Linked DNA regions of Struthio camelus. The protein of the gene in region 1 interacts with the protein of each later gene in a pairwise test. Links are inferred from orthologs where the notes say so. Each region holds a gene or a part of one and is shown in the gene's direction. Other genes may lie near its edges. The genes, in order: VENTX, RBPMS, TBX15 and DAB1.

The links.
Region 2: the proteins of VENTX (region 1) and RBPMS interact in binary tests that used the Homo sapiens proteins (3 or more experiments, as listed by UniProt). The two-hybrid records come from large-scale screens. The link is inferred for Struthio camelus from reciprocal best matches to the Homo sapiens genes VENTX and RBPMS.
Region 3: the proteins of VENTX (region 1) and TBX15 interact in binary tests that used the Homo sapiens proteins (3 or more experiments, as listed by UniProt). The two-hybrid records come from large-scale screens. The link is inferred for Struthio camelus from reciprocal best matches to the Homo sapiens genes VENTX and TBX15.
Region 4: the proteins of VENTX (region 1) and DAB1 interact in binary tests that used the Homo sapiens proteins (3 or more experiments, as listed by UniProt). The two-hybrid records come from large-scale screens. The link is inferred for Struthio camelus from reciprocal best matches to the Homo sapiens genes VENTX and DAB1.

The regions. Positions count from the first base shown.
Region 1 is NC_090948.1:18,025,034-18,032,859, forward strand, and holds VENTX (homeobox protein VENTX), read left to right. Parts: upstream 1-4,810; coding exon 4,811-5,036; intron 5,037-5,322; coding exon 5,323-5,543; intron 5,544-5,675; coding exon 5,676-5,987; 3' UTR 5,988-7,509; downstream 7,510-7,826. UniProt on the Homo sapiens protein: May be involved in ventralization.
Region 2 is NC_090945.1:5,907,809-5,915,072, reverse strand, and holds the start of RBPMS (RNA-binding protein with multiple splicing), read left to right. Parts: upstream 1-4,248; 5' UTR 4,249-4,331; coding exon 4,332-4,394; intron 4,395-7,264.
Region 3 is NC_090942.1:91,668,450-91,676,165, forward strand, and holds the start of TBX15 (T-box transcription factor TBX15), read left to right. Parts: upstream 1-4,711; 5' UTR 4,712-4,937; coding exon 4,938-5,139; intron 5,140-7,716. UniProt on the Homo sapiens protein: Probable transcriptional regulator involved in the development of the skeleton of the limb, vertebral column and head. Acts by controlling the number of mesenchymal precursor cells and chondrocytes.
Region 4 is NC_090949.1:33,984,665-33,992,521, reverse strand, and holds the start of DAB1 (disabled homolog 1), read left to right. Parts: upstream 1-4,850; 5' UTR 4,851-4,917; intron 4,918-7,857. UniProt on the Homo sapiens protein: Signaling adapter of the reelin-mediated signaling pathway, which regulates the migration and differentiation of postmitotic neurons during brain development.

The DNA.
Region 1 (7,826 bases):
TTTTATTTCTCCTGGAAAACACCTCTTATTCTGTCAAGGAGGAGAGATTATAATAATTGATAATAGAGAGCTTGATTAAAGGCCACTAGTAATGCTTTTAAGTCCTAAAGAGTGATTCCTCAGAAATTACAATGATTGGATAAACGTACCAGGGCAAAACCCACATAAATCATATGGCACGTACCAGCAGCCCTTGCTTCCCTGGGCATCCCATCATAGAAGTACTACAGTTCTGCAGATGAACACGCAACTTCCTGCATGTCCTAAGAAACCCTTTTTGCTCTTTTCATTGCATCACCACCCAGCTGCTCCCAGAAGCACATGCTCACTTTGCTGTAGTCTCACAGGACTCTCTATGAGAAGGGACAACTTGCTTTTACAAAAGGAGAGTGCCTACCTTCTGTCTTGTGTACCCCTACTGCAGCAAGGCCAAGTGGGCGGCAGCTTTCTCCAGCTCAGCTGCGGTGGGGACCTCAAAGTACTTGGTAGCCCAGAGGTACTCTTTCTCTTCAGTTCCTCCAAAGTTTCAGTGGGAAGGGGATATCTCTGAGCACAGTACTGCCCCTCTGCTGGGCTGTGACCTGGCCCATTGGGGCAGGGCTGGCCTTTGCTCTGCAAGATGTGGAGCAGTAATTAGTTTTCAAAGGCTGGGGCTGTTATCCTGAAATATATCTGTTATCAACTGCTTAATAGGGATCCAAACAGGAATAGCCAGTTCTGCAGAACCTCCTAAGCCTGAACCCAGCCTTGTGTGTATACGTTTTGATAGAGCTGCCTTGTATAAGCACTGTTGTCTTGATCCCATCCTACCTGTCCCAGCCAGACATCTATAAAGCCGATCTTTCTTCTTAGCCTCTTTGAAAGCAGCTCCTGCTCACAAGAAACTTAGGGGATCTATATCAAGTAATAAATCTCAACTCAGTTTAATTCTCCAAGATGCTAAAATGTTCCCTTCTACATCACCTCCCCAGAACGGCATGGCCTGGACTGGCATTTGGCATTTTGATCCTCAGTCCCCTTTGATCATCAGGAAGTTGGTGGTCCTTATTTTTGTGGAGAAGGTTCTGGCTCCCCAGAGAGAGCAAGTGTCTATTGAACAAACATCTACATGAAGTATTGTCTTCATCTTCAGCAAATGGATCTTAAGACTTCTGCTGTGGCAGTTATGTCTGTATGTCTGAGCTCTTTATCTCTACTTCCTTGTAGCAGCAGAGCTGGGAGGACCTCTCCGTTCTCTTTATGTCTTTGGCAAAATTCCCAAAGACTTCCGCATGAGCAGGTTCTCATCCTATTAGAAATATCAATTGATTTTAAAGATGGTATTTTCTGAATCACGGTTTAGCAGTAGATTTTCAAACAAACACCTCATGAATAATGCATAGAAACAGAAAGAAGGCAGCTTAAGAAATGTAGATAAAATTAAACTAGCAGCTATTAAATACTGTAACAGTCATTACATCTAGAAGTAATTTGCCATCTAAACAGAATATTTAAGCTCACGTTTTGTGTAGAAGGGAACATTTGGTTTAACCTTGTCAGAATGGGATTGGTTTGTGTCTCTGAGAGCTCAGCCTTTGACACCATCTTTTGGCTGTGACGTTTGTCTCAATAAAAGGCAATTAATAAACCATCAGTGTATGAAGATGTCATTTGCAGCTCAGATGGTGAAAATGTATTAAAATCTGTAAAGAAATTATGTGACAGATGTATCAGTGGATGCTAAAACCTGAGACTTTCTATTTTTCAGAACACCATCGTATGTCATGTATTGTGTCCTACCCAACAGCTTGCCAGTGCCTTTGTTCTTTGACATAAAATAAAGATAGTTAAAAGGAAGTCTTGCAGACAGACTACATGTACAGGTATACATTCTGTGTGTATAAGTAGGTGTGTGCATAGATTATGTATATAATATTTTATATTACATAAAATTATATAATATTATATAGAGACTAGGAATGGAAATAATCCTCTTCCTGAGCACAAGAGACCAATTTATCTCCTATTTGGCCCCGTCTATGATGCAGAATGCTGTTGAATTAATTAAGGAAATTCAAACTGAGAAAGAATCCTGCAGAAAAATAGCACTTCCTTTTTTTTAATGGTCATGAGAATTTAGTCCTTGAGAAAGACATTTTGCTTTTTTTTGCTCTCGCTTTTCCCAAGGAGGCTTGGCTGGATTCTCTGGGCAAGCAAAACGGCACTAGTATTCCCAGTGCTCACTGGAGATGCTGTTGCCAGGCCACATGCTAAGTATAGCTGACTCAAGGGACTTGTCATTCAGCTCTATTAACTCAGTTAACAGAGTAGATTCTTCTGTGCCTCCTCTCCGTATACCTCCTACCTGTTTGGTCAGGTCTATGCAATATGTTGGCACCAGAACTGGCTGATAAGTAAATGCTTAGAAAATCTGATGTTTTAGAATATTTCCTCAGGCTTGGGGGTGGGGGGAGGGGAGGGTAAAAGTCTTCACATTTACTTATTGAAAAAGGTAGTTAAGAACCTGTGCTTGAAGTATTCCGGGGATGGGGTGGCGGAATGTATAAAACACAGGAAATTTAAAATTAATCTTGTGCAGCTTGGACAAGTGAAGTTTCTCAATTTTCTATTGTTAATCAGAAAATGCTTGGGATGGATAAACAGATGAGTTTTTAAGTCATTAGATATGGATCAGAGTCTTTCACACAGCTGAGAAAACTAATGTAGCATCCTGCAGAGCCTTGTCCATGCAAGAGGCATTTGTGGACTTGTTTAGGCATGCAACAGACGTACAGGAGGCATTAATGCTTGAACCTCTGCTTAGACGTTTTAACACCAGTACCCTTAGTTCCCTCCAGGAAGCATATTTAGCAGGCTCAAGGGTATGGCTGTGGTTGTTTGTTTGTGATGATTTTTATGAGAAATTTATGTTCAATTCAAGTGTTTGGCCTGTATCTAGATCCCTATGTGGCCAGAAACAAAGGACTCCAGGAGGACTGTGGTCATGCCTGGTTGTGGTAGTACCCACAGATTCTGGATTGGTTATTAGCCACCTTTAAATAAAGGCAACAGCTAGATTCATATTCTTGTTTGTCTTATCAGACAGACAAACACTCAAACAATGGCATCACTGGTAGAGCAGAGGACTCAGACTATGCCGCAGGAATGAACAAGCAGGGAGAGACTGAGCTTAGAAGGGGCTCATAAGTCAAACTTGAGCTTCATTCAAGGAAAAATTTGCTAGTGAGTGGAAAACCTTAGGAATTCATGATGGCTGGATATAGCAACCACATTGTGAGTAAATAGGCGGCTGAAATGTAGGTTTTAGGAAAGATGAAAATAGATTGAGTAAAACTTTTTACTTATGGATATAAAGAAAGAGAGGTATCTAAGATTAAAATGGAATAAATAAATTTAGTTTAGACATAAACTAAAAAAATAAGTAGGAGGGGTTCACTCCTCAAGCCCTCTATCTCTGACAGGCCAAGAACTAGAGCCATGGTTACATTGACTGTGATCACAAATGAAGTGAACGCTGAGAAATCCAGCAGGAGTGGCAGAATGACAGAACAAGTCACAGGTTAAATGAGCAATGAAGCACTGGGTTTGTGTGCAGATGGCAGAGGAAGAATATAAAGAGGAAAACCAGAGCAAGGACAGGCAGATTAGACATGCAGTTGTGATTTCCGGAGGCAGACTAATGCCAGGCAGGAGTATGATAGGAATTATCAGAGATATAATTGTGCCGGTAGAAAGTCCCACTCTGTCCTAGCACAGGAGGGGAGGGAGGGGAAATAGGAGAGGATTCATGGTTACTGTACAGTGGAAACTGTACAGTGGAAGCACAACTGTCAGTAAAATAGCAGGGCCACTAGAAACCTTTTGTCAATGTACTGCAAAGGCATTACTGCAACAGCCAAGTGTTCCTAGTGCCCACAGAACCCAGAGATGGATGGGAACGCTCCTGAAAGGCGTTCTTAAGGAAGTAACAGGAAAGCCAGGGGGAGTAAGATAGCAGGGAAACCTGTGTAACCTGCACAGTTGGAAAGATCTGGGAGGGAAGATATGACATAAATCCTACAGCCTCAGCAGAAAGTTAAGGGCATAATTGTCTTTTTCTGATTCTTTAGTTCAGAAAAAAACACTTTATGTAAGCAGCCGAGAATAAGCCGATTGGTACCAACCAACAGGCTCGACCTTTACCTTTTTTTGTTTCACAGCCTTCTCCTCCAAACCCTTCTCCCCGTGTGTGGTGTTTATAACCTGGTGCAGCAGACCCAGGAGAATGCGTTCAGTGAGTCTGCCCACCCGCCTGCCTCAGGCTGTCTCGATAGCACGGTACTCAGCCCAGGGAGGAGCAGGTTTGGGAAGATCCCTTTAGAAAGTGGAACTTCTGCTTGAAGGGAGAATTGAAAAGTGTCATCTCTCGGGGAACGGGGACTGGGAGCCCCCGGCGATCCCGGTCCTGCCAGCACCTGCGGGATGCTGGTCCCTGTGCGCCCCCGGGATGCATTCCCCCGCGCCCTTTGAGGCCGCTCAGCGCTATAAATGCCATTTGCATGGGGATAGGATGTAACAAGTGCTGTAAATCACTGACGGCAGAGTGAACTCCTCCAGGGGCAGACACCGCGGAGCCGAGCCTCTTCGAGCTGTGGCAATGTGTGAACAGTATCTTTTGTTGAGGGGGAGGACTGATGGCAATTAGATGATACTTATCTGGCCCTTTGATGTGTATTTACACAAACAACGTTTTCCTCCGGGACTTGCGGTATAAAGGAGGGGCCGTGCTCCCCAGCACCCTCCTTCCCGGCAGCTCCGAGACAAGAGCAGGATGACCAAGGCCCCTTTCTCTGTGGAGTGGCTATCCCAAAGCAGCCAGGCCCCCAGGAACCCCGCCGAGGGTGCTCCGCGTCGAGCCGCTTCCGCGGCCGCGGGGCCCCGGCCCGACTCCGGCTCCAGCCCCGGCCCGAGCGAGTGGAGCGGGAAAGAGGGCGCCGGCCCGAGGGCCGGGAGAGGCGGCAGGAGCCGGGAGCGCCCGGCCGGCCCCCCCGCTGCAGGTAACCGCGGCCTCCGCCGCCGTCGGGGCTGCGTGGTGCAGTCCTGCTGGGGACAGGAGGGAAGGGCCTTGTGCCCCCAGGGACCGGAGCCTGCTCACCCGTACCTGTGCCAGGGCCTGTCCGCAAATTTCCCCCGGGGAAGGGGCGCCTGGTCCTGTTTCCTCTCGCCCTGCAAGGGGCAGCGAGCCTCCCCGGAGCCCGGGGAGAGGGAAAAGAGGCGAGCGGGCTGGCACTTCCAGGGACCCCAGGCCTGGCTGATCCCCCTTCTCTCTCGCCCTGTCGCCAGGAGTAGGTGAGCGGGCGTGGGGAGCGGGGCAGCCCCCGGCAGCGGCGGAGCCCGAGAGCGGCAGCTCCGAGGAGCCCGGCGGCCGCGGCGCCCGGCGGCTGCGCACGGCCTTCAGCGCGGAGCAGATCAGCACCCTGGAGAGCTCCTTCCAGCGGCACCAGTACCTGGGGGCCGCCGAGCGGCGCAAGCTGGCCGGCAAGATGCAGCTCTCGGAGGTGCAGGTGAGCGGCGTGGGGTGGGGTGGGGTGCGGATGAGGCTGGGATGGGGATGGGGATGGGGATGGGGATGGGGATGGGCGCCGCCGGGGGAGAAGTTGTGACTTCACCCCTCCTCATCTCACTCGACCCTCCAGATCAAGACCTGGTTCCAGAACCGCCGGATGAAGCTGAAGCGGCAGCTGCAGGAGCTGAGGCCGGAGCCTTTCTGCAGCCCCCCTCTCCCTTACGGACCTCAGAGCGGGCTTGTGCCCTTGCCCCTCGCCTACGCAGCCCGGCCGCCGCCGCTGCCCCGGCAGGAGGCCGCCCCCGGCGGCTTCGCCTTAGCGGCGCTGCCGGCGCATGCCTTGGACCTCAGCAGCGCCTGCCGGGCGCAGCCTCCGGGCTTTTGGGCAGCGCCCTGCTTTGTAGGGTACCGGGATCCCAGAGCTTTCCTGCTGGGCGTCTGACCCGCTGGCATGGACTCTACCTGAGGAGGATTTGCACTAATGCCAGCGATGCGGGCTGCCCCGGTCTGTAACTGGCTGGTGGAGCTGTGGTGAGGCACAGAGCAAGGTATTCTACAGAGACTGCATGGTCTGGGTCGTGGACTTCAGGCCCCTGCGTTTATAGGCAACGGTGTAAAATACAGACGTGGTGGGGCCAGTATTAATACAAATGGAATCTCTTAATAAACCTAAACACTTTCCAGCTTTGACCTGACTTCCTTCCACAAGGATTGCAGAGCTACTTATCCTGCCCTGAAAGAGACCACCTCCCTATGAAAGGAAGCACGGACTCCTTAATCCTTAGATCTGCTCTGGCTCTGGTGGGAAATCTGAGTAGCCTTTCATTTGCTGAACCCTGAAATTTACTGAGGAGGAGTGTAAAAAAACTATGAATTTCCCCCCGTTCCCTAAAACAGGAGACTCCTTACCCCTTCAGGTACTTCCCAGGTGGCACTTTCTATGGTGGGATCATGTCTTTAAGCATGCATATATGGATGCATCTTGACCTAGTTACAAATATTAAATGCTGGGCTTCTTACAGCAGCAGAATGAATCCTTTCTCTTGGACCCCTTTAAATACCATATCATATACAATTTCAAGATGTAAAAAGCTATCTCTTTAGTTAAAAGTATTATGTAAGCACCTCCTCGCAGTTTCATGGGGTGGCCTCAGTAGATTAATAAGCACCTCTCACCTAAATAGGCCTTGGGAAGGATCTGGACTTGCATTATCATTTGAAGAGTCCCAATAACATATTATCTCGGCATCTCACACACACCTAACAGGGTATGAGAGTGATTATCAAAATAAATGCAATTGTCCAAAGCTCTTTGTTTAAATAGCTGTCAATCTGTTTCATGAGCATTGTGCTATGCATTTTTTATTTGAATAACGCTCTAGAAAATTCATGGTCAAAAATGTTCTGATTTCAGGGTAGAGAAAGAGCTGTGAGAATTGATCCTTGACTGATGTAAGTTGTCATAAATCTTTTCAAGTCAACTGTCAACCGACATGAAAAGACCCATAAAAATTTCCATCAGTTTAGAATCAGTCTCCGGGGTTATTAAAAAACTTCCGGTGCACTTGCAATCTGGGCTCATATAATGAATTGTTTGAAGGTTCTCTGTCGGTCATCCTTGAATGCACCTATTTTCTTTTTTATGCAGGGGCCAGCCTCTTGCTTGACTACACTTGCCTGGTTCACAGCAACACTATGTGCTCTGATTTTCTGAGTAGCTGTCGCATTTGGAAGTCTCCTTGATTATTTTGTAATCTATGTTGTATTTTTTCAATCCTTTGAGATGTTGCTATTTGCTTGCACTTGCGCAATTAATACAACTCTAATCTTTGTTTTGAAGGATTTTAAGAAATGTAACAAGAGTTCAGCTGCTATTTATCTTGTTTAGATCTTTCCAAAAGTGTGATGCAGTTTGGGATTAAGAAAAGTTGTTTGTCACGAAATAAAATTTCCCACTGAATGGAGTCTTATTTCTCAAATTCAAATTTAACTAAAACGACTATATTGATCCAAAGGAGGGGGGATCTGAAATTCTGTCTCTGTCTCTCTTTCGAATGTAATTAAGGATTCAGTTGTTTCCAGAAGAGCTCTGCAATGGCAGATATGTTTTTCTAACACAAGCATATTTTAAGGATAGGTCAATAACAGTCAACAGTCAAGGTCAATAAATGCACAATTTACCCGCAAATAGTCTGGAGTGTTAAACTCGACTTGGCTGCCCCTTTTCAAGGGGACACTGGTAGAGGTCACCCCATGTAATTTTGTATGGGCACCGACGAGG
Region 2 (7,264 bases), on another chromosome or scaffold:
CAGAAGCAAGCGGGGCTCCCCGCAGAACTCGCAGGCAGGCTTTCTTGGTCGAGCACATCCATCTTTCCCAGCCTGGGCCAGGTTTCCCAGGGAAAGCCCTTGCCCTGGTGCTCATTAGTGAGTCTGTGTAGGGCAGAGCAGCACCCCCATCTTGTGCCTGCTCAAAGCCTTGTCCCTCACACCGCCCTCTTCAGGGCTCCTTTTTCTCTCCCGAGTGGCCTTGTGCTGCTTAAGCGTTTGCACATATGTGAGAGACAAGGTGCAGCCAGACCTGCAGCTCCCTACGCTGTCAGCACTATATGCTTATGATACGCTGTGGGCCTTACAGCCAGCGATGGTACAGGTATGATAGAGGAAGCCATGGTACTTGACTCCTCTCCTATGAAGAAAGGCTGAGAGAGCTGGGCCTGTTCAGGCTGGAGAAGAGCAGACTGAGTGGCGATCTCATCAACATGTACAAGTATCTGAAGGGGGGGTGTCAAGAGGATGAGGCCAGTCTCTTCTCCGTGGTGCTCAGCGACAGGACAAGAGGCAACGGGCAGAAACTGAACCACAGGAAGTTCCACCTAAACCTGAGAAAAAACTTCTTGACTGTGAGGGTGACAGAGCACTGGAAGAGGTTGCCCAGAGAGGTAGTGGAGTCTCCTTCGCTGGAGATATTCAAAACCCACCTGGATGTGATCCTGGGAAATATGCTCTAGGTGACCCTGCTTGAGCAGGGGGGTTGGAGTAGATGATCTCCAGAGGTCCCTTCCAACCTCAACCATTCTGTGATTCTGAGATTCTGTGACTCCACCGGGCAGGGGGGGCACAGAGCCTGCCAAAGTGGCACGTCTTATTCAACAGCCGGAAACTGGTTATCAATACACAAGATTTCCTCCCTCTCATTTGGCTCTTCCTACAACTAAGTCAGCTTTTTCCAAACAATTATTCTCCATGGGATTGCAGAACTACTGACAACACTGCGCAGCATAGTCCGATACCTGCCTGTTTTTTCTTCACTTACCTGTAGGCTGTAAGAGACAGCAAGTGCTAGAAAAGTGGTGACACCCTCTCTCCTCTGACCGCTGAAAACTGCCTTCTGTTCAGCTTGCTTTTCAGCCCATTCACTCGGCGCTGTGGCAAGATTGGAGCACAGCTGCAGCTTCTATGGCCGTCTGCTGCACTTCTGGGGAGCTTCAGATGTGCACAAGTTTTCAGGCAGATGAATGTCACGCTGACCCATAGAGATGTTTTTCATAACTTTCCCTTCTACCTTTGTAAAATATGTTCTGCAGTTTTATCCCAATGCAGAACAAAACTGAGTGTTGGAAGGAACAGAATTTCTCGCAGGAGAGAAAGCAAGAGCCACTGTTTGTACTGGAACCCCAAACTTCAGCTGAGATGCAGGAAACTGTTTGCTACGGCATTCCCTGCTTGCAACTTTAATGCGGACGGATTTGGAACCGAGGATTTCAGGTAGAGCACGGCTTGACATAAAAGCGAGGGAACGTGCACTACAACTAATAAGATTTTCTCCTTAAACTTACAGGGATATCAAAAAGCTGGATTTGGGCCTTGAATTTCCAAACTGCGGCCCATTGCTGCTTGGAAACTGTGTGGCTATTCTCCAAAGCAGTCTAAATACGGGCTGCAAATATTGTCACAAATATGACAGTTTCCATCTAATTGAGGTAGACCCCGCCAAGTTTTCTTGTTCAGATGACCAGAAAGATCTTGCAGTTGAAAACAATGGAAGAGAAAGTAATGAAATCAGGGTGAACCGCGCGGACTTCCATATATGCCACTGAACTCAAATAATGCCTCTTACGTGCTTAGCAGCGTGGTTTCAAACAGGCAATTGAAAAAAAAAGACATGTTGGAGCTGGAAAAACAAAAAAGTTGCACCAGTGCAGAGCCCCGGGTGGTGGCTGCTGCGAGAAAGCACAACGTTCCTGCGGGTCCACGCTCGGAAGCGGTCATTTGAAGCCACCTATGAAAAAAATAAGCCTCGTACGCTAGCCTGAGTTGACCTGTTGGGCAGTCGTGGAAAAGCCTCTTTTCTGCTCACTTTTCATGCTCGCTTTCAGAGCTACAGGGGCCTGCTATGTCTTCACCTCGCAGGGGAAAGCAGGGAAGCAGCCTGGGTAGCCACCAAAGGGCCCCTTGGCCCAGCTAAGGGGCTATCAGTCGAGCGCCGCTGTCAGCAAAAGCGTTCCTCCGACAGCAAGCACGCTGCAAGTACGCTCGGCAAAACCTGTGGCGTGGCACGGGAAAGATTAAACAAATCTCTCCTTTCCTCCTCGAGCCACCTTAAATTTCATACCCTGTAGGACAACAGCGCCCTCAATAGCTGCTACAGGGGTTTTCTCCTCTCAGAGGTAAAGAAAGGCCAGGTTTCTTTCTTAACTCCCAGGCTTTCATTCGTATTTGTTCTGCTTCTTTGTTTCCTTGATTGCTTTTCAAGAAAGCTTTGAACAGTTAATACAATTCTGACAGAAACAGAAATGCTCTCTTATTACAGAGGCACCCAGAGGGCTGGTAAATATTACACTAGGCTTGTGCCTCAAAAGTGACTTTTTTGCTGAAAAAGCCCACCAGCCCATCCCAAACTTTCCATGGATAATGGGCCATTTCCAGGCCTATAAGGGCCCTATCCTAGGAAACCAAACATACAACTCCAGGAAGAATATGCTGCTAAATTTGTTCGGTTCTCTCCCCTGGGAGTGGTTTAAACCCAGCTGTTCCTCATGTCCTAAAAATGAGGCAAATTTTCAAAATCTCTTCCTCTGAGGTAAATTCCCAGCAACAGCCCTATTGCCGTGCAGCCGCTGAGCAGCTCTACACCATGTTTGGGGAGAAAGCAGCAAAGCACGGACGGTACACGACAGGTTCCCGCGGGATCCTGCACCCCCGGCTCTCTCCAGGGCTGATACTGATTTTGGGCTGCTCACTCACCTTCTGATAATGAACAGCACATACAGGTAAATCCAGCAGCACACTGAATTTATCCCAACGGCCCCGGCCACGATTTCTAACTGTGGTGGCTCAGGTTTTCTGACTGTAGGCACCGTCCTACCAGGAAGAGAGAGAGGTGGGAGACCAAGACACCAGTCCTCAAACGAATCCCGATTGCCTCTCTTCCCAGCATGGTGAGGTTGCACCTGTGCCACAACTCTGCAGAAGCCTGCAGACCAGGGGCACCGTCGCTCTGCTAAAAACCCCCCATCCCATCTTTTTCCCGGTGGTGAGTGAGGTCCCTTCTTTTTCCCCTGCTCACCAAGGTAACATGTTTTTTTTAGAAGTGCTCGGGCCTCTGCCTGCTCTTTCTGACCCTGAGGCTGCTCAGGTGGCTCGCAGGGCCACCTGCTATCCCAGCCGGACATCTCCCCGCTCCCGGAAATTCGGACCGCACGGCTAGTTTCAATCTAGCTCCCACCAGGACAAGTTCTGCTCTGTAGGGGAACATTTTTTGAGAGGTTGGAAGCTTGCCAGGTGACGTTGGGGGCATTTCGGGTAAGCGCTGCCACATGGGAGGGACACTTAGCCCCCCGGAAGAGAGGGGCTCGCGTCCCCTCGCCTGCCCAGCGCCGCGGGAGCAGCCTCCGCCCGCGCCCGAGTGGCCCCAGTGTGGGTAGGACGAGCGGCCCAGGGCGACGCGCAGACGGACAGCTGTATTCGATTTGGCCGCTCTCTCCAGAAAGGCAGGCTGAGCCTTGAGGACCGCGCGTGGCCCTCCTATCTGCTGATGGGGCCGTTTATCCCCCGGGGGCAATCCCGACCTCCGTTAAAACTTGTTTAGCTCTCCGTAGTCTAATCCCCTCGGCCAGCCTGCCTCCTCGGGCCTGGAGGGCTGCTCGGGAGGAGGCGACCGGCTCGGCCCCGCTCACGCCACGTGCTGCGCGAGCCCCTCTCGCTGCCGCCGCCTGACGCAGGCAGTTTGCCAGGTTCGCTGTTCCCCCCGCGGAAAGGTGCTACGGACGGAGGCGTTAAGCGTCAGCTCGCCTGGCGCGCACGGAGACGCTTTTAGGGACTTTTCCCCGAATGCCGGGGCAGGTTTTTGGAAATGAGCAGGGCCACCCCCCAGCCCCTTTCAGCATCTGATGCCAGACGACTGACGAGGGACGGGGAGCACAAGCCGGACGCGGCGACAAAACGCGACGAGCGTCGCCCCCAGCGCCTGGGCGGCCCCACGCGCGCGGCGCCCCCGCCCCCCACGCCGCCTTGGCCCCGCCCCCCGCCCTAGACGCCCCGCCCCCCACCGGCCCGGCCCCTCCCACCACCGCCGCCGCCCGCCCGCCCGCCGCCGCCGCCGCCGCCGCCGGCGGGAGCAGCCTGGCCGCGCACGCAGCATGAGCAACCTCCCCGCCGAGCGGGACGGCGGCCCCGCCGAGCCCGGCCTGCCCGAGGAGGAGGTAGCGGGGTCCTGGGGGGCGGCGTGGGGTGGGGACGGGGACTCCTCGCCCCTCTGCCGGGCCGCCGTGGCGGGGGGGAGAGGTGCGGCTGGAGCCGCGGCTCTCCGCGGAGGCGGCGGCGGCGGACGCGCGGGCTGTGACACGGGGGCATCCGCGTTGGCCCGGCCAGAAAGTTTGAAGGGGGCGGTGGGGGTGACCGAAACAGGGCAAACCTCTCGCATCGGCGAGCGTGAAGCCGGGGTTTGGGGTTTTGGGGGGGGGGGGTTATTTTTTTGTTTTTTTCCCCCCGCAAGCGTCCGGGAAGGGGTTATTTGGCCGCGTCGTCCCAACAAAGTTGAATTTGCCGGCTGAAGGCGGGCGGAGCGGCGGGCAGGCTCCGGCGGCGCAGGGCAAAGTGGTGCTGCTCGACCCCTTTGGAGCTGGGGCAGGAGGGCCTGTTTCCTCGGCCCCCAAAGCAGCTTGGGGGCCGCTGAAGGACGCGGAGAGGTTAGGGGGAGGGAGGCGTGTGGGGAAAAAATGCACCCCGGCCTTTTGTTGCAAGGCGTCGGACACCGTCAGGACCGTCCCTGCCCCAACCTGGTGGTGCTGAGCGTGGTTGCAGCTGAAGGAAACTGCTTTGGGACCGCGCCGGGCCTGTGTGGGCCAAGGGCAAAGGTGCTGAGAAAGGAGGAGCCGCGTCCCTAGGGCTTTGTCTTGCCCGGGGAGGGGTGATGGCAGCAGGTGCCACCAGGGCACGAAGAGAAGAAGGGGATCGGCCCCAGGAGCGTATCATAGCGGGCTTGGAGAGGGAGGACGGACAGGTGGTACCGTGCGGTGCTGGGTTCCTGCTCTGTGCTGCGAGCGTGGCTTTAGGAAGGGGCCGGTTGCTGGTGCTCGCAAGCTGGGCTCCTTTCCCACCATGGCAGGTCCTTCCCGCACCTGCCTCCTCCTGTGCCAAGCCGGCAGGTACTTCGCTGGCACAAGCTTATACCGGCGCCGGCTGGAAGCGCTGGCGCTTGGGAGTATTTGCGTAAGGACGCTCGGAGCGGGTTGCCTAGCCACTGGGTTGTGCATACCTCTCCCCTTCCTGGGAGGTCATGCCGGAGGGCTTTTCTTTAAACTTTGTGCCCTCCCTCTCCCCCCGATGCTGTGTTTTACCCCAAAAGAGGAAGAAGCAGACCCTGTCTTGAGGCTGTAGATCCTGTGCCGGGAAGGCGGGAGGTCGGGGCATGTGGGCTCCCACAGCAGGGAAACCCGCAGGCTTTCCGGAGGTTAAAGCAACGGTGCTGCGACGTGTGATGGGCCCCCGGTTTCCGTGCGGGTCTGGCCCAGAGCCTAAGCCGACGCTCGGATAAGTCCGGCCAGTTCTCCTTTGTCTTCCCGGGGCTCGCGGGAGTTGCTCCAGCCTCTCCTGGCAACGGGCAGGATGCGTGGGGCATCCCCTTCCCTGTCGCTCCAGCCCCGTTCAGCGCTGACTGGCGTGGGTGAGCCGCGGGTTGGAAGGTCCCGGCAGAGGAGCCTGGCAGGGGTAGAGCCGTTGGAAAAGAGGTCGCGTAGCTACGGCCGGGCGAGAACGGCATGTAAAAGAATAGACGGAGGCCTTATTTGGTAGCGGAGCAGCTCCAGGGAGTCCAGCCCTTGTCTCCATGGCCGTGCCAGCTCCCCCAGCGCGGCTCCCAGCACAGCGCGGCTGGGCTGGTGGAAACGCTGCTGGCGTTGCTGACTGTATCGTCCCAGGAGGTTGTGGGGGGCTCGGGCACGGGCAGGGGGCAGCCAGGGTGGGGAGAGAAAGGGTGGCACGAGCAGGGCTAGGCACCCCTGGGGACGCTTCCTAGCGGGAACATCTCCAGCAAGTCGGTAAGCTTTCCCTGCGCAGCCACCTCGCCCCGTGGTGGAGCTACGAAGACTTCCCTTTATCTTGTCAGGAACTGCCTGTGGTTCGGCGTCGCTTCCCATGTACTTGTGCTTCCCTCCCTCCTTTAAGAAATGCCCGGTCTCGAGGATTTGGGAGGAAAGCTCCAAGCAATGACACAATTGTGCATGACCTCAGGCCCCAGCCCCGGCCCGCAATCCAGCCTCTCTGTTGCAATCTCCCATCTGCTCCCTTGGCTTCTTGCTTTCTTTTGCTCACTTCCTCGTTCCAGCTTCGCCTCCGGAGCAGCTCCCCCACATTGTCCTCAGCCCTCGCTTGACTTTGTTTTCCCAAACACTGCTCCTCTCCTTGCTTTCCCTGCCTACCCCAGCAGTGGTTTTGTTGGTGATCTTGAGAAGCGGCTCCAGGTTGTGGAGCTGGAGGTCTGAGCGGAGGGAAGGAAAGCCCAGACCTCCCTGTCTGGAAGAGGTCTGTGCTCGCTCTCCTGCGTGGCCTGGTGCAGAGCATGGAGCCCTGTGCCTTCTCCATCCTTGGCGCCGTGTGGACCCAGGTGTGCCACACGCAGGCCTGGGACATACGCGGTGCCACTTGCAAAGCAAGTATCTCGGGCCTCATTGACTGAAGTCTTGTTTATGTCAGTGAGTTTTGTGGGCTTGTGACATGCTTACACAGAGCCCGGTAATCTAAACCAAACCGAGGGAACACTCCATTAATGGAGAGAGTATTTACGTAAGGGCTAATCCGCGCGGGGCTGGAATGCACCCCGCTGCAGGGGAGCAGGGGCAGCGCCGGCCAGGGCTCCTCGCCTCTCCTCCTCCTGCCCCAGCTCCGTGTTTAGGGCGCTTTTCCCTTCGCTGGGAGGAGGGGGTGAAGTTCCACTTTCCGTATTTTAGGGCTTTATCTCAGCCCTAAGCCAGCGCGGTGGCCTGGAACGGATTCATCTGCCTCCTCCTCCTCCGGGCCCGGCTCTGCTGCCACGGCGCTCCCCTCCCCTCAGCCCCCCCATGCTGCGTGCACA
Region 3 (7,716 bases), on another chromosome or scaffold:
CGCCTCTCGCTGTACCTGCGCTTCTCTCCCGAGCAGCTCTTGCGCTGCAGGCTGCAGAAAGTCCGCGGCCCGCGGGAGCCAAGCAAAGCGAGGCTGTCGAGTGAAAAGGCACGAAAGAAGGAAGAAACCTAGACACCCTCTTGCTGCTCCCGGCTGTTCTGAATTTTGACGTGGAAAATGCAAAGCGCATAGCTTTTAAGCCTGCTCTTGTCGCTCTAAGGGAGTATCTAAGAAGGAAGAGGGCTCTCTAGCTGGGGCTCTCATCTTTGCTTGTGAAGGGAACCTGCTTTGTTTGAATTATTCATCGAAATTGCCTATTTCCAAACAGCTCCACGGGGAGGCTCTGAAATGCAGTCAGGTCTGATTAGTGTCTGCGAAGAAGCGACGCCTGGAGCTGGAGGAAGTTCAGGGACAATTTTAGTTCCCAAGTCTTGTCCCCTCCTGGAGCACTGTGGCCCGGGATGGGGGAGGGGGGTAGGGCCCGGGGACACGGGGCATATTTTTGCTTCAGGACAAGGGAATCTGTCCGGTCTCATTCCGCCGCCCTGAAAACAGGAGAGCAAAAAATAATAGGCGCGCGTTGGGTCTGTACTGCCCAAACAAGCGAGGGTGAAGTCCTGGTAAAATGGAGGGAAAGCAGTGGCTGTTTTTTATAGTCCAAGTGTATAATCGGATTTTTTTTCTCTCCTGATAGAAAGCAGATAAATTTATGAAGGGAGAGCTAAGAGAATAATTACAGGGTGAAGGTAGTTAAATTTTATTTCGAGTCCCAAAGGCAAAACCTGACATTTTATTGCAAACATCTGGAAGGCTTAAGAGACTGGCATGGTGTTTGTTTAAACACTAATAGAGATTTTTATTCTGTAAAACACAAACAAAGCCCATTTAAAAACACTTGAGACTGTAAATATTTTGCGGTGATTCAATTCTCAAAGCCTGAGAAAACCGGGGAAACGCGAGGGGAGAGGGAAGGAATCGGCGGCATAATAGCGGTATAATTATGAATTAGTTAATAATACGCAACAATACCGTTTGTGTAGACCATAAAAATAAATTGCAGGCGTATTTTTTTTTTCGCTGTCACAATAAATGACCCCGCGCAGCCCGGGAACATCACCTCGCTCGAGTTTCCAAGCGGCGGCTGCGTCCGCGTTAAACTCGCTTCTTTACGATAGCTCCGGTCTCGAGATCCTCTGATCCGTTTTAAAAGACAGTCCACGTTGTCTTAAAGTCCAATAAATCATTCACTGACGTTATCAGACAGCCTTCAGCCCACACCCGCTGACTAGTTTTAACATTGTTTTCAATTACTAACTTAAAAAAAAAAACGGGCTAGATCTGGCTAAAGGACTTTCGATAACGTTTTCCTTGTTGTGCAGTAGTGTTTGAAACCGGCTCCGCTCAGCCTCGGCGAGCAGAACATCTGGACAGCACTCCCACCCCGCAGCCGGCTCCCCTTTTTTCTCTCTTTTCCAAATATTTCCATATATAAACAAATATTTTCAGGCTCGCTCGGCGACAACTGGAAAGCAGCACTGAATGACTTCTTTATAAACCCCAGGGCCTGGCCCTGCGACCCTTGCTCCTGCCACTTTATTCCAGGGAGCAGTTTCCTGGATTTAATGGGGGCTACCCCTGCGAGCCAGGGTCTGGAATAAAGACCAGGCAAAGGGCTACATTCTTCTCTAGCGGCCAAGGGTCAGAGTCGGATCTGAGCGTCGTGTCTAAATTCAGATTAACTCCAGGCCGACTCCAGATTTACGCGGCTTGCAGCCGGGAGTGGGAACGTGGTCCTTAACGGGGCTCTTGTGATTCAGCAGAGAAGAGCCTCGCCGGACCAGGTGCCCTCGGGTTGGCGCCGCGGGGACGCGTTTTGCCCAGCGGGCTTGGCCCCCGAGGTGCAAAGAACGGACCGAAAGCTCATTTCCCGGTTTGAGGAGCGCGGGTTTCCCTGGACGAGCCCCCTTAACTCAGGGGCAGAGATGTTTGTCCCGCAAACAGCCTCCCTGCTCTGTCCCCCGGCACATCTCCTGCCTCGGGTGCGCGGGGCCGCACGGCTCGGGGAGGGCCAGGGCGTTGCGCAGGTTGCCTTTTCCTCCGCTTTTGCTGAAAAGCAGCGCTGCCGTTGTGTTTGTCCCTTGCACTCGCCGCAAAAAGGGGGGTAGGGTGACCCCGATCTGTACAAAATCTCTCGGGCACTGGCATAGCGGCAGGGAAGGAGAGGCGCGGCCGTCGGCGGCCGTGTGTCGCCTGTGTCCCCGGCCACCGCCGGCGGCACCGTGGGGAGCTGCTCGCCGGTCCTTGCCAAAGGCTCCGATCCTGGGAGTCTGCCAGTTGGGGGCCGGTCGGACATGGGACCGCGGCTGTGTTTCTGCTCGCTACTCCGAAGCGGTCCCTCTGCCAGAGCTGGGCGCGGGGTGGTCCGACAAAGTTTAAAGACCACGAACAGCCGCAGGTAAAGAGGACGAAAAGGGACCGCGACTGCTTTAAACCGTCGGCCCTTAAAACCATGTTTTTACCGGCAAAATGTATTTCTGAACTCTTACATCAGCCCCCAAATTTCGTTTTAAATCGCCCAGCCTTTCCAACACCATTTCCTCTCGCTAAAACGCTATAAATAATCCTGTGTTTTCTTGGGCTCTCTTTCTAAAATCTCCCTCCAGCTCCTTTAAAAACCTCCCTCGGTGTCTGTTTCCCAGACGAGCGTTTCCGAGGCTTTCGGAAATGAGGAAACGGATTTTTATTTGGGGGGCATTTTTGCGCCGTGGGGAGCACAGCCGAGGGACCCACTCGAAACGCACGTGCCCTCTGCGGGTCCCCCCATCCGCAGACAGTCCCGGTGCCGGTTTTAAAACCCAAGCTTCCTCCTCAAAGCGTCTTCCTCTTTGGCTCTCCTCTTCCCTCCGCTCTTCCCCCTGCACGGCTCTCCCTGGAGCCAGGGAAAAAGCTTCCTTCGCAGCGGGGCGAGACGAGAGCGGGGCAGTGCAAGGGGGGCTGCACCTCCCCGTGTCGGAGCGCCCGTGTGCCCGGCGCTGAGCCCTCTGCAAGGGACCTGTCAAAGGCGATGTCCAAGAGAGGGGAGGGGAAAGGATAGGCGGGGGGGGAGGGGAGGGGAGAGAAGGGGGAACGAAGGGGACGCGCAAAATCCGCTCCTCAAGTTAGATAACAGCCCTTAACTTTCCCGGGTTTTCGTGAAGAAATCACTCCTTTCATCCGACATCCCTTTCCTTGCTGCTATGGCCGTTTGGACGGCGGCAGTCCGCTGTCGCGCCTGCAAGACCCGGCACTTTAGGCCTGAAGGGACCTGGTGTGCCAAGCAAACGTGGGCATCGCGGGGTGACTCTGGCAGCTGGAGGACCTGCCCCCCATCTGCTCCCTTGGCTTGCGCTCGGCCCCGTGGAAACGGCTCGCCCCCGAGCTCCTTGCTCTCCCCCGGCGCTGCTCAAAGCAACGCCGAGCCTCCGGGGAGCCTGTGAGAACCGACAACCAAAAGCAACCTATTCCCAAACTTGACGTTTCTTCTCGCCCGTTTTTTCATCTTAGCTTGAGCTGTATTCACTCCATCCTTTATCATTTAGTTATTTATTATTTATTTTGACGCTACATTCGATCCTGGGAATCGAATTAACTCCCGGCGACTTGTTATATTTTCCCTAGACAGTGTTTCGCTTGACTTCACATATTTTTTTCCGTGCTCCGAATAGATAGTGAAAGCACATGGTGCTTCACCTTTGCAAATGCAGCCCTTATTTCCTTTCTCTACGAGCCCCCTGCGCCACGCACGACCTAAGAGTGTGTGAGCAGCTACCATCCCACCTCAGCCTGGAAGGCAGAGTGAAGAGACGAGCAGAAATGAAATGCTAGTTGCCATCTAGACCACTGGCCGGGATTTGTACCTAGCGGATTGTTCTCTCTATATAGCTATAGCGGCAAAAAGGAATGGGAAAAAAGAACAAAAACAAAAACCAAAACAAAGACCCCAAATCCTTTCCAGAGACAAGGCACTCGCGGTGCCGGAGGATGTCTGAATCTCTCTGCCCCCGCTGCAGCGCGCCCCGCTCTCGGCACCGGCTTCGTGCCGGCGCCGCCTGCCCAGATACGCCGCTTCAGACACGAGTCGTTTTGAAAGGAAACTTCAAAACACCCCGAGATGGTACTTCTACAGGGCCAAACACCGACTTCACCGACAAACACAAGTAATATATGACATGAATGACGTTTTCAAAACACCCCCTCATCCTGCACTCCCCGGATTTAAAGCCCCTTTTCGAATACTCTGAGGGGAGTGTGGGGGGGGGGAATTTAGTTATCAGGAGTCCCTAGGAAATCTGGGTGCGGAGGAGAGAAGTGTCGGAGTTGTTACCTCTCTGCATTTAGAGCTATGTGTTTCCTAATGGCTCCCCGCTCTTCAAACAGTTAATTCTCCCGGCCGGTGTCCCAGGACTCAGATGGCCAAAATTCTTAGCCCCGAAGCCCGAGTCTCCCTCCCCTCCCCATTGGGTTGCAGCTTTTGGGTCTCTCTCGATCTCTCCCTCCTATTGGCCGGGGACATTTTTTTTTTCATTATTTTTTTTTCTTGACAGGCGCACGCAGCCTGCCTAACTCTTGGAGGAAAAAAAAATCCCAGAAGTTTGGATCAATCAGAGAGAGACAGAAGGAAAGGGGAGAAGGAAAAAAAAAAAAAAGATGAAATCCAGCCTGCAGCCCCTCTGAGCAAGTGCTGGGGACCTGGGCTGTGCACACCCTCCCGGCTCTGCCTACGGAGTATCTGCAACCTCATGTAGTTCCTTCAGGAGACTGAGGGCTGGTTCTTCTGGGGGTGCAGCTGGGGAGGGGTGGGGGGAGAAAGAGGCGAGAGGCTCTGCCTCTGGTCCCCGAGCTCTGCGCTCCCAGCCACTGGTTGCTCATCTGCCCAAGGGTCTGGGCTGGGGGATAAGATGAGTGAGAGGCGAAGATCGGCGGTGGCCCTCAGCTCCCGAGCGCACGCTTTCTCAGTAGAAGCCTTGATTGGGACAAATAAAAAGAGGAAACTGCGAGACTGGGAGGACAAGGGGCTGGATTTGTCCATGGAAAGCCTCAGCCCCAATGGCCAGCTAGGGGACAATGAAGACCCGACTCAGTGCCTGGACCTCAACCCCGGTTAGTGCAACTCCTTTCTCTACGCCGACCCCCACTCCCTTTTCTCTGCCTTTAGCTCTCCACTGGCCCGGCCGGGGGCTGCCCGCCGCAGCCCCTCTGCCCGCCTGCGCGGGCGCGCCGCGCTCCTCCGCGCTCCTCCGTGCTGCCCAGCCGCGCGTCCAGGAAAACATCTGGCATTTGGGTGGGGGAAAATCTGCGGACATTTTTTTTTTTTTGATTTTTTTTTTCGGTTTACAGGGACTTTTCTCCCACCCACTCCGAACTTTTTGCCCCCTAACTTCATGACCTCCCGGGAGGGAACGGCGTGCTCCCCCCCTTCCTCCTTCTCCCTTTCTCCTCCCTCCCTCTGTGTCTGCCGTTCGCGCTCGTACTTCCTGGGTGTCTCGGGACGCGCGTTTCGCCTTGCTCTGCCCTGCCCCGGCGCGTCCCGACCATTGCAGGGGTGCGTCGGGGGCAAACGAGGGGGGGGCACAACACTCACCGCTGCGGGAGAGATCTCTCCTCTTTTGTACGGCTTTCCAAACGCTCCCCTCTCCGAACCCTCCCCCCCTCAAGTCTGCCCCGTGGAAATCGTGCTGTCCCAACCGGAGATTTTGGTGGAGGCAGAGCCGGGCGCGCCGGACCGACGCCGTCCCGATGCGCAGCCTCCGCGCAAAGCGGCGGCGGGGCGAGGCGAGCGGCTGCGGCTCCGCGGTCCGGCCGGGCTCCGCGGCACCCGCGCACCCCGCCGGCCTGCGGGCCCGGCCCGGGGAGCGCCGGCACCAGCGCCAGGGCCTGGTTCCGCTAGCGCGGGCCGGGCCGGGCCGGGCCGGGCAGCCCCTGGACCGGATCCGCGGGGCTCTGCGCTGGGGCCCCTTCGCTCAGCGCCCGCTGGAGCCCGGCCGGCAGGGACGTCTTCACTGCCCGCGGGGCCAGCGGGCTGGCACCGGGCTTGCCCCGTCACTTTTCCTGGCGAGGAAAAGGGTCTCAGCCCGGGAGAAGAGGCAGCGGGCGACAGGAGGGTCCAAAGAGTCCCGCCCGCGGTACCGAGCCTGGCGCCCCCCGGGACCGGGGGAATTAGGAGTAGCGCCAGAGCCGCGGCGCCTAGGTCGCCGCGCCGTGTTTGGGGGCAGAGAGCACGAGTCCGGCCTCGGCTTTTTTCATTTAAAAGGGAACCAGTGGCTTGGAGTAATTTTTTGTCCCCCGAGGCAAATTATTTGTCCCTAAAACGAGGGTCCGGCAGTAGCGGCCTCGATGCCGCGGCGGCTCTGGGGGGTGAAGTGAGAGGGGCGCGGAGGGAGGGAAGCGCGCTGCCTCCCGCCCCGCGCAGCGCCCGCGGGGCTCGCCGTCTCCCCTCCCCGCTCCCCAGTGCCTTGAAAAGGGACCGAGCGAGCTGCCCTGCGCTCACAAGTGTAATAATCGGATAAAGGGAATTTCGGGGAAATTTCCCTTCATTGTTCTCTTAAATATTGGGTATGGGAAAAGGTCGAGCGATTTATCTTCGGGGACGCGCAAGAGAAAGGGCACCAACTTACTCCACTTGCTCCATTCCACCCGCTGAACTTGGAGAATAAAACATTTTTTTTTGTGGGTGTGTGTGAGATTCCCCCAGATATCAATAAGGACCAGCTGTCCAAAACCCATCACTAAAAACAGAGAAAGTATTAGAGGTCGAGCTGTAAAAAAATCTGTTGTAAAAAATGTGTTAAGTGTTTTTGAAGGGAGCTAAAGACGGGAACTCCGGAGATCACGTCGCCCCGCTCCGCTCTCAAGGAACCGCATTTCAATTTGTTTGTAACAGCAGCAGCTCTTCCCGCTGCGGATCCTAAGGAGACGTAGGTAAAATCTTCTTCCTGGAGCTCTCTCTTAGTAGGGCGACGGGCATAAAGGAGAGAGAAAAGACCCTACCAGAATAACAGCCACCAAAAATTTGCTCACGATCTCAGAGTGCTCCCCGTACAAAATAACAAATACGAGATCGAAACGACAAAAATCCGCTTTCCAATATTAGAGCAGATGTGCGCATTGCTCATTCTTTTTAGAATCGTTCTACATTAATTTCTAGCTACTACAGGATACATTTTTCGTTGCTCTAGAAGTTTAACTCGCACTTTTCCCCATGAATTCGAAATAAAGATTTGGAAAACTCCCTCATGCGCCAGACTAGAAAGCGGGAGAGAACGGCTGGTAATGCCGGAAACCTTAGAAAGTAAATGTAATGTTTTTCATAAAGCAAAGGAAATCAAGAACAGTTTGAGGAATCATTTTTAGGATGTTGATAGACTTTAAATAAAGTCCGCAAGTGTAATTTGCACAGTCACTTCATTAAACCTAAATCCGCCGCAGTATACCTTTGCTGCTGGGTGAAAATTGATTAGCAGCTATATAATAGCCACCAAATTCCATCTTTACAAGACCCAATTAAGAACAAACTTTACACCTAAAGTATTTAAAACTCGCCAAATCTCTGGTGATACACCAAAAATAAAAAAGAGAGGTTTTACAATGTCCTCAGCGTTCAAAACTCAAAATAGCCGCTCCCGCACAGCGTAGGAAATAACGCGGGGCCGTTCCTTTTGCTGGCGATACTATTGGTAC
Region 4 (7,857 bases), on another chromosome or scaffold:
AACCTTACCAAGAATGGCTTCAGTGACAGTACTCCAACACAGGTTATCTAAGGCTCATATCTCTTTCACTCTGTGAGCTTTATGGGTTTGGCCTCCTGACACACTGGTTATCTTTCTTTCCCAGCACTTCTCAAATCCTAAAGGGAGGGCAGTCACCTTTATGTTCAAAATTGTGGCCTGGGTGCTTGGATTCAGGCAGTCAGATGGGAAAGCTCATTGGTTTTATTCTTAAATGGAGATTTTGTTGGCTGCTAATTTGTTGAGCGAACATTTAGGCAAAAATAGTTGGGACAGCAGCTTCAGTCAATATGCAGAGCCCTCGTTCCACTCTTGCCCCTCGTAGGTCTCTCTGCTTTCCTTTCTCTGCGTGCTTCCCTGTCATTTTGATCCCTGCATCCCTACATAGTCCTGACCAGTTGTGATGGATGGCTTTTCTTTTGTTCTCTCTAGAAACAGGGAACCTTGAGCCCTAAATCTCCCTGAGAACTCAGTTGTAATCTTTCCTTAAAAATTTCTAAAAGTTCTTGCTCCCGACTGCGCATTTTAGATTGATAGTGTTGTGTGACGCATACCCAGACTCTTATTTTATTTTAGCTGGCTCCATGCGTACTACTACTTTGTGAGATTTGCCATACATAGCGAAAGATTGACTGACCCCAGTTCCCTGCCACAGTATTAGTGTCTGGTCAAGTGACTATAAAAACGAATACTACTGTTTTGTGCTTAACTGTGAATGCGAATGTGTGTGTTTAGAGAGTGTCACCTTTGAAAATCAGACTCACAGTATGCACTTTATCCTGAAAAGTTAACAAAAATTCAGGTTAGCAATAGCATATAAAGTGTGTGTGTGTGTGTGTGTGTGTGTGCGCGCAAGCCTTTTCCTGAGATAACTAAGAAATACACCTAAAACCCCGTACCATTTAGGTGAAGGACAAGGTAAGAGCAAAGCAGACGCATCAGCTGTCTCCAGGGCAGTTATTCTGTGGAAGGAGGCAGACCAGCACAGCAGGCAGCAAACGTTTTTTTCCAGAGCCTGGAAGTGAGTGGTGTGTAGGCAGGCATGAAGAAGAAACCCTGCATTGCTTTTATTGTCAGTCTGCTTGTCAAACTGCCTTGTTAGGTAGGGATAGTAAGATGGAAAATAGACCAATATTTGACTTCTTTTTGTGTGTATATGTGAAAGCAATAATTCTTAGGAGGGGCTTATTATTAAAATGTACTTGCTAGTGCCAAATATTAAATGCAGAGAATTAAGACATAGATGCATAACCATGCACATAGCAAGACAAAGAGGAAACAGATGGTTTGTTAGCTAGTTAGACCTCTTCTTAACTCAGAGCTGTTAGTCCTGAGAGATTTGTTCTTTCTGTTTTCAACTTTGCTTGGGCCCTTCCACAAGACAGCCTTGTTTATTCGTAATGTTGCCTGTGCTCGACACCTTGTTCCACTTAGTCTGTGCTTTCAGTGCAGGACACTGGACAGGCAGCAGCAGGCTTGCAGAATGCGAAAGAAGGGTGAAGTAACAGGTAAAGGAGAAGAGAGAGAGAATGGGATGCTGAGCGTGTATTTTCTGTCCATCCTCACGTTGCTAAGGGACCCGAGAAGAGAAGGACGGAAAGCTGTACCAGCACTCGAACGGACACAGCTTGTTCCCCGCTGCAGCTTGTGAACGTCACCTCCCTTGTGTGCGCCAGGCTGGTGTTCCTCTCGAGCAGGGTGATGAGGGCAGCGGAGCCCACTCTGTGGGAAGGATGGCTGACAAGGATGGGAAACAGTGATGCGGTGGCATCGCTGACGTTGTGTGTGTGGTCTCTCAGCTGATTCAGCGGTATTGCCAGAGTCTCACTGTGCTCCAAGGAGGGGCTGAGGAATGTTTTATCATTAAATTGCATATGACTGAGATTGGCTGAATTAACGTATCCCAGTGGATGAGAGCTATATGATAGGAATTTGATTACTCCTGTTGTATGATTTGAGTTGCTCATAATTGCAAAGGTTCTTTCCAGCGTCTGTGAAACAACTGAGGTTGAACATTAGTGGTTGCAGTTGCCGGCAGTGTTGGCATAGCAGGCTTTATTATTTCAAATATTTCACACTTATGGCAGCTGTTGCACCTTCTGTGCTTTTGGTTTGATGCAGTGAATACATCCTTTTTAGCAATTCTTTTCTTAAGATGAACAGCAAAGCAAAAAAGCAGCCTTTCACATCACAGTGCATAGAGTATTTCTGCACATTTTGAAAAAGATTTATGTTTTTCCCGTTTCTGACATTTGAAACAGTAAGTCTTGGTTTTGGTTTTTGCTGAATCAGTGGCTCAGGCAGTCACTACATGGCAGCAGGCTGAAATGAAAGCAATGAGAGGTAAAAAACCATCATGTTTGCTGAGATTGTTCTAAATTCTGTTAGTGTTTAATACCCACTTGCCCGCCCAAGTATTTCAATACTGTTTATCACTGTGATATCTGAGTGCTTCGTTAATAAGTGTATCCTTGTCTATCATTCTGAGATATTGTATCGCTGTTCTCCTAGTGGGAGATTTTAGTCACAGAGAGATCACAGAGCTGATTTTCCAGCAGTGTCAAGGCAGGAACACTGATAACTTAACACCTCTGAAACAAAGTCCAAGTTGTACATCCAGAGCCACAGGAGATTGTTGTGTCTTAGCCAGGAATGAACCCTGCATCCTGCAAGCCCTCCTTGAGCTCTCAAAACGTGTGGTTGGCCCCTTTCCTTCCGTCCTGCTGAAGTGTTAGAGAGCGTTCTCTCTGTGCAACATTCAGTATCCCCTTCCCTGACATCAGTCTGGCAGAGTTTCTGTTCCAGTTCTGCTGGTGAGCTGTCAGTAAAAATGTGACCCAAGTGAAAATACATCTAGGGCAAACACAGGAAATCTCTTTTAGCAATTTTCCCTGTATTTTAGGGAGAATTACTGTCAATTTGTCTCTTTCAGGCGAGACTGCATGAAAAGCAGGTTTATTTGCATTTAGCATTTCACTGTCATTAAGAAGTTTTTTTTGCATAATGCATTTGACCACTGGTAGCCAGCAGATTTTGCCATCATTTAGAAGGAGGTGAACACCATTAAAAAAACCTCCCAGGTCAAAATGGACAATAAATATAGGTAAGAATTTGCATAGAGGAATCCGGCTGCTCGGCGCACACGCGCTCAGCTGGCGCCTTTGTCACAGGTACGGGTTCTGTATGTGGTTCCCCAGTGCACTGTGGAATTTGAATTGTTCCCTTCACACAGCATGGACAAGCTCTCACACTCCTTCTGCTTCAGGCTCTTTTGCAAAGGCAAATGGCACTGCTGGAAACTAATCAACGTAATTTTGTACTCTTCACAGAGGTCTATTAGCAATCATTGACGCAATCCTGGGCTGTAAATGGGGACAGCCTATTCCTAAATTCAAACACAGAAATGTTTTGTATTTTCTATAAAATATTATTGACCTGGCCTGTTTCTGGCCTGCCCGTTTCTGGGCTTTTTGTGCTTATGTTTTCCCTTTTCCCCCAGATGCTGTAACAGGCTGTCAGACGGAGATGCTGCTGAGGATTTTGAAAAAGCTCAAATGATAAAGAATAGGGAAAAACTAACATCACTACTATTGTAGCAGCCTTGCACAACCTTTTCCTATACACATGTACAGAAATAAAGTACAAATAGTAGTTTTATTAAACAAGACACAGACACTTATTTTTTATCCTTTCTGCCAAAGGAGAAGAAATATCTTCATTTTCTCCACACAGACACAGCTTTCTTCATGTAAAATCCCATTGGAGACAAAGCACTGCATGTTTATCATGACTATGCTAAGCACAACAGTCCTTAGGGTAGACTTCCTCTAGTTGCATTTCTATAGCAATGTTATTAGCCCAACTTTTGCAGCCGAATAACTAGTTTGGGTTAGTTAAAGACAAGCAAGCAACTTGTTCCTGGTGTGAGAATGCAACCTAAGTTGAGTTGCCAAGCGCCGTGAAGGAAATCCGTAGAGTAGGGACGGATGGTGTTACGTTCTCAGGTGACTACAGTAACCGCTGAATCGTATTTCCTTTTTCTGTTGAGCATATACATTGAGAACGGTTACCTTAATTGATAAATGCAGCTTTGGGTAAAAGTTTCACTGGGTCTCAAAGGGAAACCATTTGAATTCCCCCCGACCTTGCCCTGGCTTCTCTGAGTGCCTGGGGATGAAGGCTGTGGCTGCTTTTACACATGCAGCCAACTTGTTTCACTGGGCCCATTTGGAGGGATTTAAGTCTCAAAATGAGTGTGAAAGCTGAAGTTTGCATGTCATCCAAGGGCTTGCACATTTGTCAGAATAGAAATGATAAGGATCATTAATTTGTACATATGTGAATTAGGAACTGGAGAGGGTTTCCTGATAACCAGCAGTAACGTGATGTACTCCGTCCCAGTCATGCCAAGGCTGAGACGTGTTGATTGCCTCCAGGGTTAACCTCGCAGCTTTCGTGCAGCGTAAAAGCAGCTTGTTCTGCCCACCATGTGGCCCTGGAGTACAGGCAGGAAAGGTCACACGAGCAATCAAGATCAGCATATCCCTACTCAGGTGGGGACCCCCTGTGGCTGCAGGATTAGCAGCAGAGTCTGAGCTGACTTTGAATATGTATTTACTTCTAAATGTCCCGACTCTGTTCCAGGCATTTTTTGACTCATTAATCTGTGTCCATATTTGCCATGAACTTGGACACACAGTGCAACGACATTCACTGTTTCTTGCTGTTTGTCTGCTTGCTGTCCTGGCTGAATTTTTGAAAAATAAAAACAGGAGGAATTAAAAGGTTAGATTATTTTCTTCGTATGTCTCTGTGCAGGAGTGAGCGGTAACTGGCAGGCTGCTTTGAGACCTTTGCTGATGATGCCACTTGAACAAGGATTCTACAAGAAAACGAATAGTAAGAATCTGCAATTATCAGATAATATTTTTTAAAATACAACAGAAATTTTCTAAAATAGGTGGATTTTTAGAGGCATGATTTTGGGTGTGTTCAGCAGGAGCTGTACATCTGAACCCCTCGCATCACGTCTAGAATCTGGGTACGTGAGTTTTGAACTGAAACTTAAAGGCAGACAAAAATTTAGTTTCCCCTTTTCTCTCTGCCATTCCCACAACATTTGGGAAAGCTGTAGAAGCACATTTGCTTCAGCTAAATCCCTCTGCACTCCCCTCATCCTCTCGGTACCTGCACTGCCAGAAAACAGTGCTGGAGCAAGGGGCAGCAGTGCACGCATGTAGTGCTGTCTGCCAGGCAGATATTTGCCAGGGAGAAGTCACTGACCTCCTTGTTTCCTCAGCCCTGGAGATCTTTGCTCTATCGTTGCTGATCCTCCCAAGGTGGGGGTGGGGGTGCTGATGTCTACCCTTGGAGGAGGGTAGCACTTAATCTTATCATCCGTCTCGGCTGACATCCCCACTGATGTTGTAGAGTACCTCTGGGGGCAACCCCCCAGACGACAGCAGTGCAAGAGGTGACCGTTCCCGAGGATCCTCTAAACGAATCCTCAGCGTTTTCATTAAAAAGAGACGCTCCTGCTGGACAATTATGGATTGCGACTCTCCCATTTTTCCACAGGCAGAGAGCTTATGTAAAAACTGACTGACATTTAAAAATGCCAGCAATCTTATTAATTCTTCAGTTCAAGATGTGTTTCTTGGGGCTTTGCATGTGGAATGCCACTCGGAGGACAGAAGGGTGATGCAGCCACACTGGCAGAATCAAGCTCTTTACACAAATACTGCACTCTTTTAAGTGTTACTTCTTTAAATTGTGTGTTTACCATGTAACTTCTGACTAACTGGGAAATGCACTTGTGAAGGTTAAGGCACCTAGTGCCCCTGAGAGTTACAGCTGTGTGAATACAAGCTCTTTGTGCTCTGTCCCATGACTGACCTCTTTCTGACTTGAGAAGAGTCCCTTCTGCAGGAATTAAAGGCTGTTCTGTCTTCCTGCTCGCTCAGAGATGTGCTGCTTGCCTTTCTCCTAGGCAGAGTGCACCATTGCGGATTACTATCCACCAGCAATTCAAACGGCATTGCTAAGGGTATTGCACTTATTCCAGGATCACAAGCTAAATTCAAAGCAAAGGACAGAATGTGTCATGGCTTTTCTCCTCTGTCCCCTGAAGGATTGAGAGGCCACCCACATTAGCATGGCTGCTTCCTCTTCTCGCTTCCCAGTTTGTGGTAACTGGCACTGCAGAAAAGGTGTACCACTTGTCTGAGGAGACTGGGGTTCAGCTAAGGATCTGCCAGAACAAAATACAACCTATTTCCCCACTGTATTGTTTGCTATGTGCTGAGTTACAGTTAATCTCTCTGCAGCGGGGCCAAAGGGGCATGCTTTCCAGTGGACAAATTCTTCTGTGAAATGCCTTTGCACAGCTTCCACTGCCTTTATGGAGAGCTACCGGGCAGAATTTGGTCCCAGGCTGGTCAGATCATGCAGTTCAAAGGACAAAGCGCATTCCCCTTCTGATGGCTGGTTTAATAGATGACTGACATACTGCTGCCAGCTTATGGTTACTCCTTTATCGCAAGGAGGAGAGCTTGGGGCAAGGGCGACAGCTCAGACACCGCTGGTTTCCCATGCCAGTTAAAGTGACTAGGATTATGTGTGTTTGCTGTATGCCAGATATATGTATATTTTTACATCAAATTTGTTACTCTATATTGAAAGCCATTCCCACTGGCTGGTAAGTATATTGTTTTGTTGGATGTAAATCTATCCATGTGTTAAACATACAAAATTAGAGCCAAGCTTGCTTCACGTCTCAATCTCCAGTGACCATCCAGTAAATAGCAGCTCTTGAACTGCTGGCTGAATCTGTTGGCAGAAAAGTACAGGTGTAGATCAGTCTTAAAGGAATGACTCCTTGCAGCAAGGTTAGGAGAGAAAAGAGTGGAGGAGAGGCAGGGGAAGGTTTCTTTGGTTGTTTTTTATACAATGGCTGCTACTGCATTAGCAATTGCATTTAGTGTTTATCAGGTGAAGAAATCAGATGGCTTCCAATTCCTGCCATTGGTAAGGAGCTGCTTTTTGCTGAAAATGGGAAGGATACATGAAATCATCTCAGAGCAAGAGGTTGTGCATGCATTAAGGTGACGAATCAGGTTAATAATGGGCTGAGCCGTGTGTAAGCCATAGGTGTTGGCCACAAATTGTGAAGACACTGTCAGTGGGTCAGAGCAAGGTCTTAAATCTTTTTTTTGAGAGCTTTTATTCTTTGACCTGGTTCACTGCAGGGGAATGAGTTTCAATTTGGAATAAATTTTGACCCAAATAATTGAAAGTTAATCTCACTTTATTTTGCATAATGCTTTATAATAATACAAATGTAACATGTTTAGTCTGGGACCTAGAGGCCAGCAATCTATGGAAGCTGACACTTTGCATAAAAGCAACCTAGAAAAGGTCCTGAGTTTATCTATTCAAACTGATAGCAGCACTTCAGAAGATTGACCCTTCAACCTTTTTAATAATGACTTCCCCTCCTTTATTTAGTTTTTTGGGTTCCCTTGCAGATATTCATTTGTGACACTTAGCAATTACGTTATGTGCAGTATTGTACATGTGAACTGAATAGTTCACTAGGTCAAGCAAATGCAGAAGAGATCGAACCAAACTGATAGAGTGAAAAAAACTGAACTATAATAAAATAAGTGTATGCAGGTCAAGTGCTGCCTGAATGAAGCAATGTATTGGTAGAAGTTAGTAGACACAATATACCTTCCTTCTTGGGATGTTATCAAGGAAATATGCAGTCAGTGAAGCAGAAAACTGCAAAATTGTTTAATAAAATTAATCCTCAACTGTGAACAGCAAAAATGTCAGGCT